Linked DNA regions of Drosophila melanogaster. The protein of the gene in region 2 interacts with the protein of the main gene of each other region in a pairwise test. Each region holds a gene or a part of one and is shown on either strand. Other genes may lie near its edges.

Region 1 (3,760 bases), on a different chromosome or scaffold from region 2:
AGGCAGGGCTTTGCTTTTGCATTTTGCGTGTTTCAATGCGAAACAAGTCGGTGGTTGAGTTCCCACCTTCTGTTCGACGAATCATTTGGCTAAATTATGAATCGCTGTTCAAACTCAAAATGCAGGTCATTAGTGCAATTTACATCAACCCCTTTTTAGTTTGCCCTCGTGGACTGTCACACGCACTTTACTGCACCACATTAACCCTTTGTTGCCCATCGCCGTTTTGCATTTTCCGCCCCCTAGTTGTCTTTTTCAATTATTTGCGGGGCTTGGTAGTCGTTGAACCCGTTTGAAGTTTAAAATCATTTTTTTTTATTTATTTATTTACTCTACGTGCAGCGCTGTTTTTTGATATCGCTCGCGGTCTTTATGGGAATTTAATTAGATTTAAAAGCCATAAACAAAACGCTATCTCGCTCTGGTCGCTTTTTAAGGTTGCTTTTACTTGGCATTTCGAGTCGCAATTGTTTTAAATTATTGGCATTTAATTTGTTGCGTCATTTTCAAGGTTTCCACATCCGATGACTTCAGTGGGGAAAACGAAAACGAATTAAAGTTTATTGAAATCGATTTTCACAGCGCAGAGCAAGAGCATTTGTAGCCATTTTGCGCGTTTCAAGTTTAATTTTCTATTTTTATTTTCGTGTTGATGACAACACCCAGAGGGGCTGGCTAGGATGGCATGGGATTTCCCGGACTACGTGACCCGCTTAACAAATTTGTGCGTGTTTGGGTTCGCCCAGTCCACGACCTCCAGGATCCGACTGCCGATAGCGTTTGCGCCACCCTCGCTTTATAGTTATTGCACTTTTATCTGCCTGACCATTTCAAAAGTCACTTTTGGCCTCCACTGTCCACTCTTCCATTTAATTAAAAACGAATGCACTGGCAGGGGTCAAAGTTCGTTCCCACGATCACCTCTACGCCTATCTGAGCTGGTATCTTAATGCCTGCGGGTTTTTCAGGCGCTAAAACGGTTTGCTACCTTTTGTTGCCCGAACTATGCGCTTTGTATCTATCACTTAATCAGACATTTCATTATCATAACTTCAAGGTCCCCATTAAACCTCAACTATTGAGCTGTGAATAGCTATAATCAATCCATTAGTTCGTTTTAACAATCACAATAATTATGGCATTTTGGCATGTAAGAAGTTAAGTCGAATTTGCAGGCACTGCGAAATACTAAAGATTTAGTTTATGAGCTCCATTTGAAATTGTTTTGTTAGCAATTAGTGGTTTGAGTTATGTAAGTTAAAGTAGAGCAAAATAATTTAATTTTAAGTTGGAGCACTCAAATTTGATTGGCCGCCGCCAACTTTTCCCCCTCAAATTTTGGCCGGTCTTTAATGGCATCATAAAGCTGTTAGCAAATATTAGGTGCATATTTCGGTGAGCATAGTTTTAATTAGTTTCAATTACTTCTTAAACTTTTTATTGGATTCGTCCCGACCATGCGAATTACCGTTAATCACCCCATTAAGATGAGCTAAAAGCCGAAAAACGAAATCATAACTTTTATTTTCACATAATTAAATCGACATTAGAGGTCGTTTAACTTTAGTTAACTACATTTAAGCCAAACGAGGTTAATTTTCGTGGTGGCAAGCGGGTCGCCAGGGTGGCAAAACTGGGTGGAAAAGCATACGGGCTCACCTGGACATTCGGAGGCCTTTGGAGTCCTGCGGATGATCCAATATTCGCTTGATGATGTTGCACATGGTTAAGTTACCGTTAACACTAATCACCACCAAGGTCGACACACACGATAACCGATAACGATAGTTTGTTGTCGATAGCCGATTGCCGACAATCGATTGCCGATGGCCGATAACGATAGGTGCAACACCGCCAGTTGTCCGACGCGTTGCTCCAGCAAAAGTTTCGCAACGACTACTGGCCCGTCAATTGGAGCTGCCTCAACGAGTGCCACAATGTCATCCACACGCACACAGACGAACCAGCACGGAGGACACCACACACATGCACACGAAAGAGGAAACATTTGCGATTTCCTTGCGCGACGTTTCCTGCTGTCGCAAAGAGTACTTGAAAGAGTAGGTTAAAAGAGCGCCACTCTCTTTCATCATTGGCGCAAACTCGCTCGCATGTGGATCCCATTTGTTTGATGAGAAAAGTATGAGTAGGTTGTGTGAGGGGGAGGTGAGTTGTTGCTGGCACAGGTGAGTCCATAATTCTGGCTTGTAAATACAAATAAAGGTACATAGTTTCTGATGCAAAATTGAATACAAAACTGGACACATTTGCTAAGATAGTTTTTGAAAAGAAAATACCTCTTTTCACAACTTTTCTGGAAAAACTCTCTCGCTAGCGCATTAAATATTTAAAATTATTGATTACATTTCTGGACCTGCTTCACCTTTCACCGCCCAGCCCGCCCACACAAACAAAACAAACTCAACGTTACTTTGTATTAACTTGAACTGTATCAGAGAGTTCTGCAATTTAAGAGCGTGCTCCGCTCTCTTCGACTCTCGTTGTTTCGTCGTATAAGACGGAGCGCGGCTGCCTGTTGATAAGCATTTACATTTACATAAGGTAAATAAGGAGCTGTGGATCCTAACAGCTGAACTCCGCGGGGGGGATGGGGGTCATGTAAACAACTACAAAAGTTTTCGGCCAGCAAAAGAGTTATTATGGAAAAAATCAAAATGGGCTATCGAAAAAATTAATTATCCTGAACGGAAGCGAATGCAACTTTTTTTTAAAAAAGTTTTAACAAAGTAAAGCAACATGGCACCGCGAAATGTATTCAACTTTCATTAACCAATATAGTAATGGAGTTTATTTTTCTACCTTTACAATATTCATAACTCGAGTATGAGAGGTGTAAAAAAAAATGATATCATAAAAAAAATGTAAAAAAGATAACAACAAAGACTTTAAAATTGTCGCAACTAAGAGGAAAAAATAAATATCAAAAGATGCAAGTAACCAATATTTAATTAAGTGGGCTGCTGTTTATGACATTTTATTCAAACAGAGAGTAAAACCCTAAAGGCTTTTGCGCATTTACATCCTTAAATATTGCCTCGATTCTTAAATTTCTTTATTTGCTTGGAAACCAGTTGTCTATTTATTAATCAGAAAAATCAATATCTACGTTTTATATAAAGTAAAATGTATCTCAAAAATACACAAGAGCTCAAGGCAAAGCCCTTAAAATAGAAAACCTACATTGGTTTAATTTTGTTGTATCAAATGCAGTTAAATGTTGTTAGCTTTTACAACATTTTTTGTGCAACAAAAACGTAATGTTTAAACTCTCTAATTATTATGCGTAGTCAATCTTAATAAAAGACCCAAGAAATGTGACACCAAAAATGCATTAAAATTAAGCAAATAAATTACACACATGTGCTTAATTTTGCGTTTAGGGATTATGTACAAGAAATTAGCAAGGCTATGCGATTTTGACATTATTCAATAACAAATTCATCTTATACCTTTTATCTGCACAGGCACACTTTCTGAATAAACATATGGCTGAAGCGTGTATCGCCGGGAATTAGTTTAAAGCAAGTTGCCACTTCAATTAGGGCCATGTCTGGCCAACGAGCGTCTGAATGGCCCCGGTGGCATCGGACTGCTGATAAGGATAACTGCCGAGTTAATCCCCGATGTCGTTGCCAAACATTCAATCACCGGCTGTCAGAAAGTTGCAGCACGGGGGCTTAAGGCAACTTTGAAAATTCCAAAACCCACTAAGACAGAGAGCAATGTGTTTGCAGCAACA
Region 2 (2,419 bases):
TCAATAATAATAACTGTTGAAAAGTTGTATCAATGAGCTTTGTAAATAATTTCCTTTAGCCTCAGTTTTTCCAATAATACCTTTTTCTAAGAATCATTTATAAGAGTCGTTGGCCTGACTGCAGTCGCCATTACAAGTTGGTTTATGATGCAGCTTCCTGGGACTGGGAAACCGTTCTTCTTAGGGGTGAATTAATTAGCGAAGCAGTGAAAGGGGCATAAAGTTGTGCATTCAAGAAAGCTCTTCCACGTATTGCCAACATTTCCTCGGAGTCATGGTGTGGATGAGGTAGCTGCTGAAGGTCGTTCAAATAATGGCCCATTGAGCTTACCAATTCATTCATAATAAGAAATCTAGTTATTTTCTTAACCTAAATCGATGGTTCTGAACAGTAAGAAGTATTGTAAATGATCTTCTTCTTAAGCATCTCCCAAAAGGATAGAATTACCATTAATGTAATGTCCACTCTTTTTATGCTGCACCCTCTTTTCCCGTTTAACTTAAACATCGCGTATTAATTTCTGGTACATTTAGTACCTTAACGTTTTATTTCTTTAGGCATAGGACACTTTGGAAAGGTTCCTAGAATGGCAGGCAAGTGTGCCGGGCGTAATTGTAGTAGGCGTGGGGACCACAAGCCTTGTCCTCCGAGGTTTCCTGGCGTGTTGCTATCTGTGCATCCACAGAGCTGAGGGCCAGGCCCAGGAAGACTAGCAAGAAACCATTGAATACGTTCATCTTGTCGAGTAGTGCTGAATGATCGGCTGTGGCAGGTAGTGAGCTATTTATACCCGACTACACGTTGCAATTAATATGGATGCTACGTGATACGGCGTTAAGCTTGCCATTTAAGTTTTTCCGGCATTTAAATCCCATCACTTACGTAAGCTGTTCGCTCTAGTTTAACATTTCTCCGATGACCCTTTCTGTTGCGATGGCTCACTTGGCGTATGCTTGATGGCAAGTTGGATGCGTAAACAAGCGAAATGAGCAGTCCACAGACACACATTACCCATTTTCCCACCCGTCTCTCTTCAGATCTCTTCAGTCTTTCTAGCCGCTTTAAATTAGATTTCTGTTTGAACTTGCCAAGAGAATTGAGTTCCCGTCAAGCACCACATCATCACATGTAATACTCCGCACTTACTTGTTTAATCACTTGCACTTCGCACATCGAAGGAAATTCAATACGCACTTTTTACGGGCTGTGTTCAGTAAATAAATAGTTATTTTAGCTTTGCATCGATTACATTACATTACAAATGGGATTTGCAAAGTTAGTTTAGCTAATAACTAATTTAACTAAGATCCCATTTACCTTGCCTTGGCCTAATTTGTTTTAGTGTGTTTAGTCTTTTTAAGAGACTTTAGAAAACTTGTAATATGTGTTTCAATAATAATAACTGTTGAAAATTTGTATCAATGAGCTTTGTAATTAATTTCCTTAAGTCTCAGTTTTTCCCATAATACCTTTTTATAAGAATCAATTTACCCAACAAAAGTTTACAAAATTTGGTCTACTGATAAATCCCTTACTTAAGCTTTAAAAAATTACTTATTTAGATTGGAAGTGCCATTGACGTTTTTCACAGTTTTGCCATGCATTATAGTTGCAACTCTTTTTCGCCAGTTGGTAAGTATTTAAAAATTAAAAATTCAATTTGAAATGACGAACGCTGCCTTTCGGCAACTTCCCGCAACCACTTCAACCGATTTTCTCTTGCGTTTCCCAATGAATACTTAATATTCCTCTTTTCGGATAGAAAGCAAAAGCCGAAAAGGAAAATCGGAAAATCGGAAAATCGGTAAAACCCAGCTGAGTGACGACTGCTGCCCGGAGCTTACATGGAGACATAATTACCCAGAAAGTTGGACTTGAGTAGGGCACATGGGGCGCCCGAATGTGGGGCGCCATTATGTGTAAGCGGATAGCTTTATGCCCCGGAATTGCAAAAGAAGAACTTAATTTTTAAGAGCACAACTTAAACTTTAGCGAAGCAAACAATTTTTGTTCGTGGCGAACTTTTAGGAGCTCCTCCGACTCGAATTTAATTAATTACACGAAAAATGCAGAGGGGGGAAGCCACCGGTAGTTGCTTTATTTTGGCACGTGATAAATTAATTTAAGCCAGCTCGAAAGCAGTTCGCATAATGTATTTGCATACACATCGCGAGGCGACGTCAGGTGGCATAAAACTGGATCATTTGGGGGGCGGATGGCGTGGGCAGGTAGTGGACGCCCGAATAGGTTTAGGTTATCGAATTGGGCGTGGCATCAACTTAATTACGCTACGCACGGCAGCTAATTGAGTTCGTAGCCCAACGAAAAATAAAACGCCATTAGTCTTGACATTGGTACTCAGTTTCGCTTTTCGCTTGGCGATTACACGCCATTTCCATGGTCTCACTGTGGAATAAA
Region 3 (3,760 bases), on a different chromosome or scaffold from region 2:
TAGCACATTTGGCAGTTAGTTAAAGGAAAAACTCGATAAACAGGTTCAAAACTCTTATTAAACTGTGCTGACTGTCAAGGATTGACCTATTAAAACTTAGCCAGTTAACTCCTAATTATCCGCGCATTTCGATCTTTATTCATATGCCACATCAATCGTTTTGAAATGTTACTATATATGAGTTCGATTTTTGTGTCAAGAACAAGACAAAATTTGACTTTAAAACTATCTTTCCGATTTTTCCTTAAAATTTATAATTTGTCTATCAGAAAGCTGCCTAGTATGTCCGCTTCAATTTGCTGCAGATGCAACGAGAAGATTTGGCCACGGGCAGTTTGCAGCTTGGGTAAGACGTACCATCCGCACCACTTCACCTGCAAGGAGTGCGGCCTGGTGGTTGATCCTAAACTGTTTTTCGCGGTGGACGACGACGTGGTCTGCAGCGAGTGCTATCTGGACAAGCATGCCGCTCGGTGCTCCGCCTGCCGGACTCCGATCCTAGAGCGCGGCGTGGCTGCTGCGGAGCGCAAGTGGCACGAAAAGTGTTTCCGGTGCGTGAGCTGCAGCAAGTCGCTGGTCTCGGCGAGCTTCTTTGAAGTCAACGGATACCTGTTCTGCAAGGCGCACTTCCGGGAACTGTTTTCGTCCCGCTGCGCAGGCTGTGAGAAGCCAATCGATCGTCGAGCCGTGGTCGCGCTGAGCACCAAGTGGCATGCCAAGTGCTTTAAGTGCCACCACTGCCGCAAAAGGATCAGCGCACGGGAATTCTGGATCGAGAACGGTCAACCCATTTGCGCAGCCTGCCAAACTGTAGTCCCGAGTCCCCGAAATTTGTCGGCCCAATAAATGTGTGGTGTCTATCTGGGGGCCTATTTGGACATTTCTTTTTCTTTTAATACCTGGGAATTGGAGTGGGGTCCGCAAGGACTGGCAGACTCTTCTTGGGAAGCTCGGTTCATCTCGCCACAGTTCCTGTGAGCAAAAATGTGCGTGTTATTTACTAGTCTGAAAACATCACTTGCAACTCACCAGGTGGTCTTCGAGGTTCCGGGCTCTCCGCATCCGTAGAGCAGCATATGGTGGGCCGTGTTCATCGTGGCATTAGGATTGAAGCCAACTATTTAAGATAGAAAGGTTAGTTGAAGTATTTAAGGAATGAATCTCATTCGAAAGGACGTACCAATATAGTAGGTGGTAGTTGGGTCGACCTTGATGGGCGTGCACAAGTACAGATCGGGCTATATATGTACACATATATATATTTGTTAGTTTTGTTAGAGAGAACAGGCATATTGGATAAGTCAACAAGTATTATTCAAATGGGAGTATGGCCTTCAGTGGGCCGTTTGCCCTTTTTCGCCACCCTCGTAAAAACAAATTCGTATCTACGGCGCAGGTTCGAGAAGTGCAATCTACAGGTTTCGGTTTCAGGGCCTTACATGTGGGTGGCGAATTGTGTGTATTCGGGTACAACTGAACATATGGAAAAATTTGCACAGTACTCTTATGGGTTTTCCCCGCGCGGAAGATACGGGAAAAACCAGAGCCTATATCGAGGACTTTTCTAATCTGATTGGAATTGTATGCGCACAGCTGCAGCTGGGCGAATCTGTTCATCCATATGGAGCGAACTCCATGATGTATATGTATGGCGTTTTTCAGGAACCTGGACTTACGGTCTGGGGCGAAACGTTGGGCATCAGGAATGGAAACGAAGCCGTTGCGCCTGTTGCGGAGTTCGACTCGAGATTCTGTTGATAAAGGGAGTTTTGGTAATCCCCCTCTTTCACAAGGCCATCCACACTGATCACTCCGATAAGCAGGAGCAGCCCCACGGAAGCGGCTATTTCGGATATGCGTGGCATTTTCACCGTATTCGAACTATATTCGAGTGTGCACTGCACTGAATACTTTGTGGAAAACGAAAAAAAACCTTCCTGTTTGGAAGAACAATACGTTTTGTATTGCTCTCTCCGATATTTTTCCACACGTAGCTAGGCCCAGTTTATATGTAAGTAAGTGCGTTCTAGGCAGCAATCGATACCCAGAGCCATTATATCGATGACGGCGCCAGGGCTGCAGGCTAAGGGTTAGCGGGACATTCAAATATATATAACTTGTTCGCATTAAAGTACATAAAACCAAGTGTAATTTTCAACCTTTCGAATACAGTGATTTAAAGACACCTCAACGCAAAAGGAAACCCCACAAAAGCCAGCCCAATTCAACGTGTCTGCGTTCCGTTCGACCCACTGGGGAATTCCCCTTTTCGCATGCGCCATTCAATTGATTTTCTACGAGCAGAGTTCCCAATGTTTACGGTGCGCTCATTTGGTTGTAGCTGTAGGCCTCGAGTTGGAACCGCTGGGACTTGGAAAACATACGACGCTTAAATGGAGGATCAGGGCGACGTGACAGACCAAGCCGCTGGTAAGCTGAGTAGTTCGAATGCCCAGTGCTCCAGAAACCGATGTGCTAATGGTAAAGCTATATAGATGTACACTCAAGAGCGGTACTAAATTATTTACAAAAAATCGTGTAATTCCCAGATGACCCCATTATGGGCAGCCACAGTCAGAGTCGCCAGAACTCGTCCGGCATGCTGAACATGATGGACGCCAGCTCCTTCAGCATGCCCCCCCCCAATCTGCACTCCTCAAAGGTGATCAACCCGAACAAGGCGATATTCACAATCGACGCGAACACAGGGCAAATTTTTATAGTGAACAACAAGGCCTGCCAGCTGCTGGGCTACACGTCGCAGGAGTTGAGGAACAAGGGATTCTTCGACCTGCTTAACGGCAAGACAGAGAGCCACATCTCCTCCCTGGCGGAGATGCAGATCGAAGGCGATGAGGGCCGGGTCGTCCTGCTAAGTGGAAAGGTCATCGAGATGAAGACCAAGTCGGGCGGCAAGATCCTGGTCTCTCTCTGGATCCGGCAGATCAGCAGCGATGGCCGACACATAGCCGTCGCGGAGCCTGTGGAGAGGCATATTTGCCACATCAGCACCGATAGATCCGGAGTGATAACATCCGTTGACTCCACCACGGCCACCATATTCTTTTATGAATCCGTCGAAAGCGTGGTGGGTGTCAGCATTGTCACCCTTATCCCGTTTATAAAGCTGCCCGATCCGGATAGCCGTGAGATCCCCAAGAGCCTGCGGAAGCAGAGAGCTACTGGTCGAACTACGGATAACGTAAAGTTTCCCCTGTGCTTGCTAATAGCCCTGGACGAGGATGCTTCTGCGGGGTATTCCCATTCGGGAAAAACCGGTCTAAATATCACCGTCTGGGTGTTCCAGAATCTTAGTGGCCTGATTGTGGTAGATGACATAGGCAACATACTGATGTGCAACCAGCCTTTCTCGCTGCTAATGTTCGGATATGGTCAGGACAAGATAATGAACATGCATATATCGGCGATCCTACCCAATTTCGGCAAGGACTCTCGCGAGGAGAAGAGTCCGAATGTTTCGAACACCTCGATAACCAGTAACGACTGGGAGCCGGACACGGATCCCCTCGTCGTGGACAACGACTCCTCGCTGCAATCCTGCAAGAAGAGCTCGACTAACAGGACGGCGCCCAACAACGAACAGTCTTCGGTGGGCGATGCCCACCTAAGCTGCAATCTGGAGAACAGCAGTGGTCTATTCTGCGACCTCCGCCAGCCAGATGATTGTACAATAGATGACATTCTAACACCTGTAAATGCCTCAAACAGTTTCCCCGCTGACGAGTTTGAGGTAGGATCG

The links.
Region 1: the proteins of Met75Ca (region 2) and Ddr interact in a two-hybrid assay, tested with the Drosophila melanogaster proteins (one large-scale study listed by BioGRID).
Region 3: the proteins of Met75Ca (region 2) and Phm interact in a two-hybrid assay, tested with the Drosophila melanogaster proteins (one large-scale study listed by BioGRID).

The regions. Positions count from the first base shown.
Region 1 is NT_033779.5:6,251,229-6,254,988, reverse strand, and holds the start of Ddr (discoidin domain receptor), read right to left. Parts: upstream 1,867-3,760; 5' UTR 1,660-1,866; intron 1-1,659.
Region 2 is NT_037436.4:18,471,627-18,474,045, forward strand, and holds Met75Ca (Met75Ca), read right to left. Parts: upstream 759-2,419; 5' UTR 739-758; coding exon 583-738; 3' UTR 517-582; downstream 1-516.
Region 3 is NT_033778.4:23,986,438-23,990,197, forward strand, and holds the start of Phm (Peptidylglycine-alpha-hydroxylating monooxygenase), read right to left. Parts: upstream 2,019-3,760; 5' UTR 1,866-2,018; coding exon 1,677-1,865; intron 1,239-1,676; coding exon 1,181-1,238; intron 1,118-1,180; coding exon 1,030-1,117; intron 973-1,029; coding exon 900-972; intron 872-899; exon of another isoform or gene 847-871; coding exon of another isoform or gene 283-846; exon of another isoform or gene 178-282; intron 1-177. Other genes in the region: CG30178 (uncharacterized protein), read left to right, coding at 283-846; Pask (PAS kinase), read left to right, coding at 2,394-2,481, 2,550-3,760. UniProt on the Drosophila melanogaster protein: Monooxygenase that catalyzes an essential reaction in C-terminal alpha-amidation of peptides. Produces an unstable peptidyl(2-hydroxyglycine) intermediate.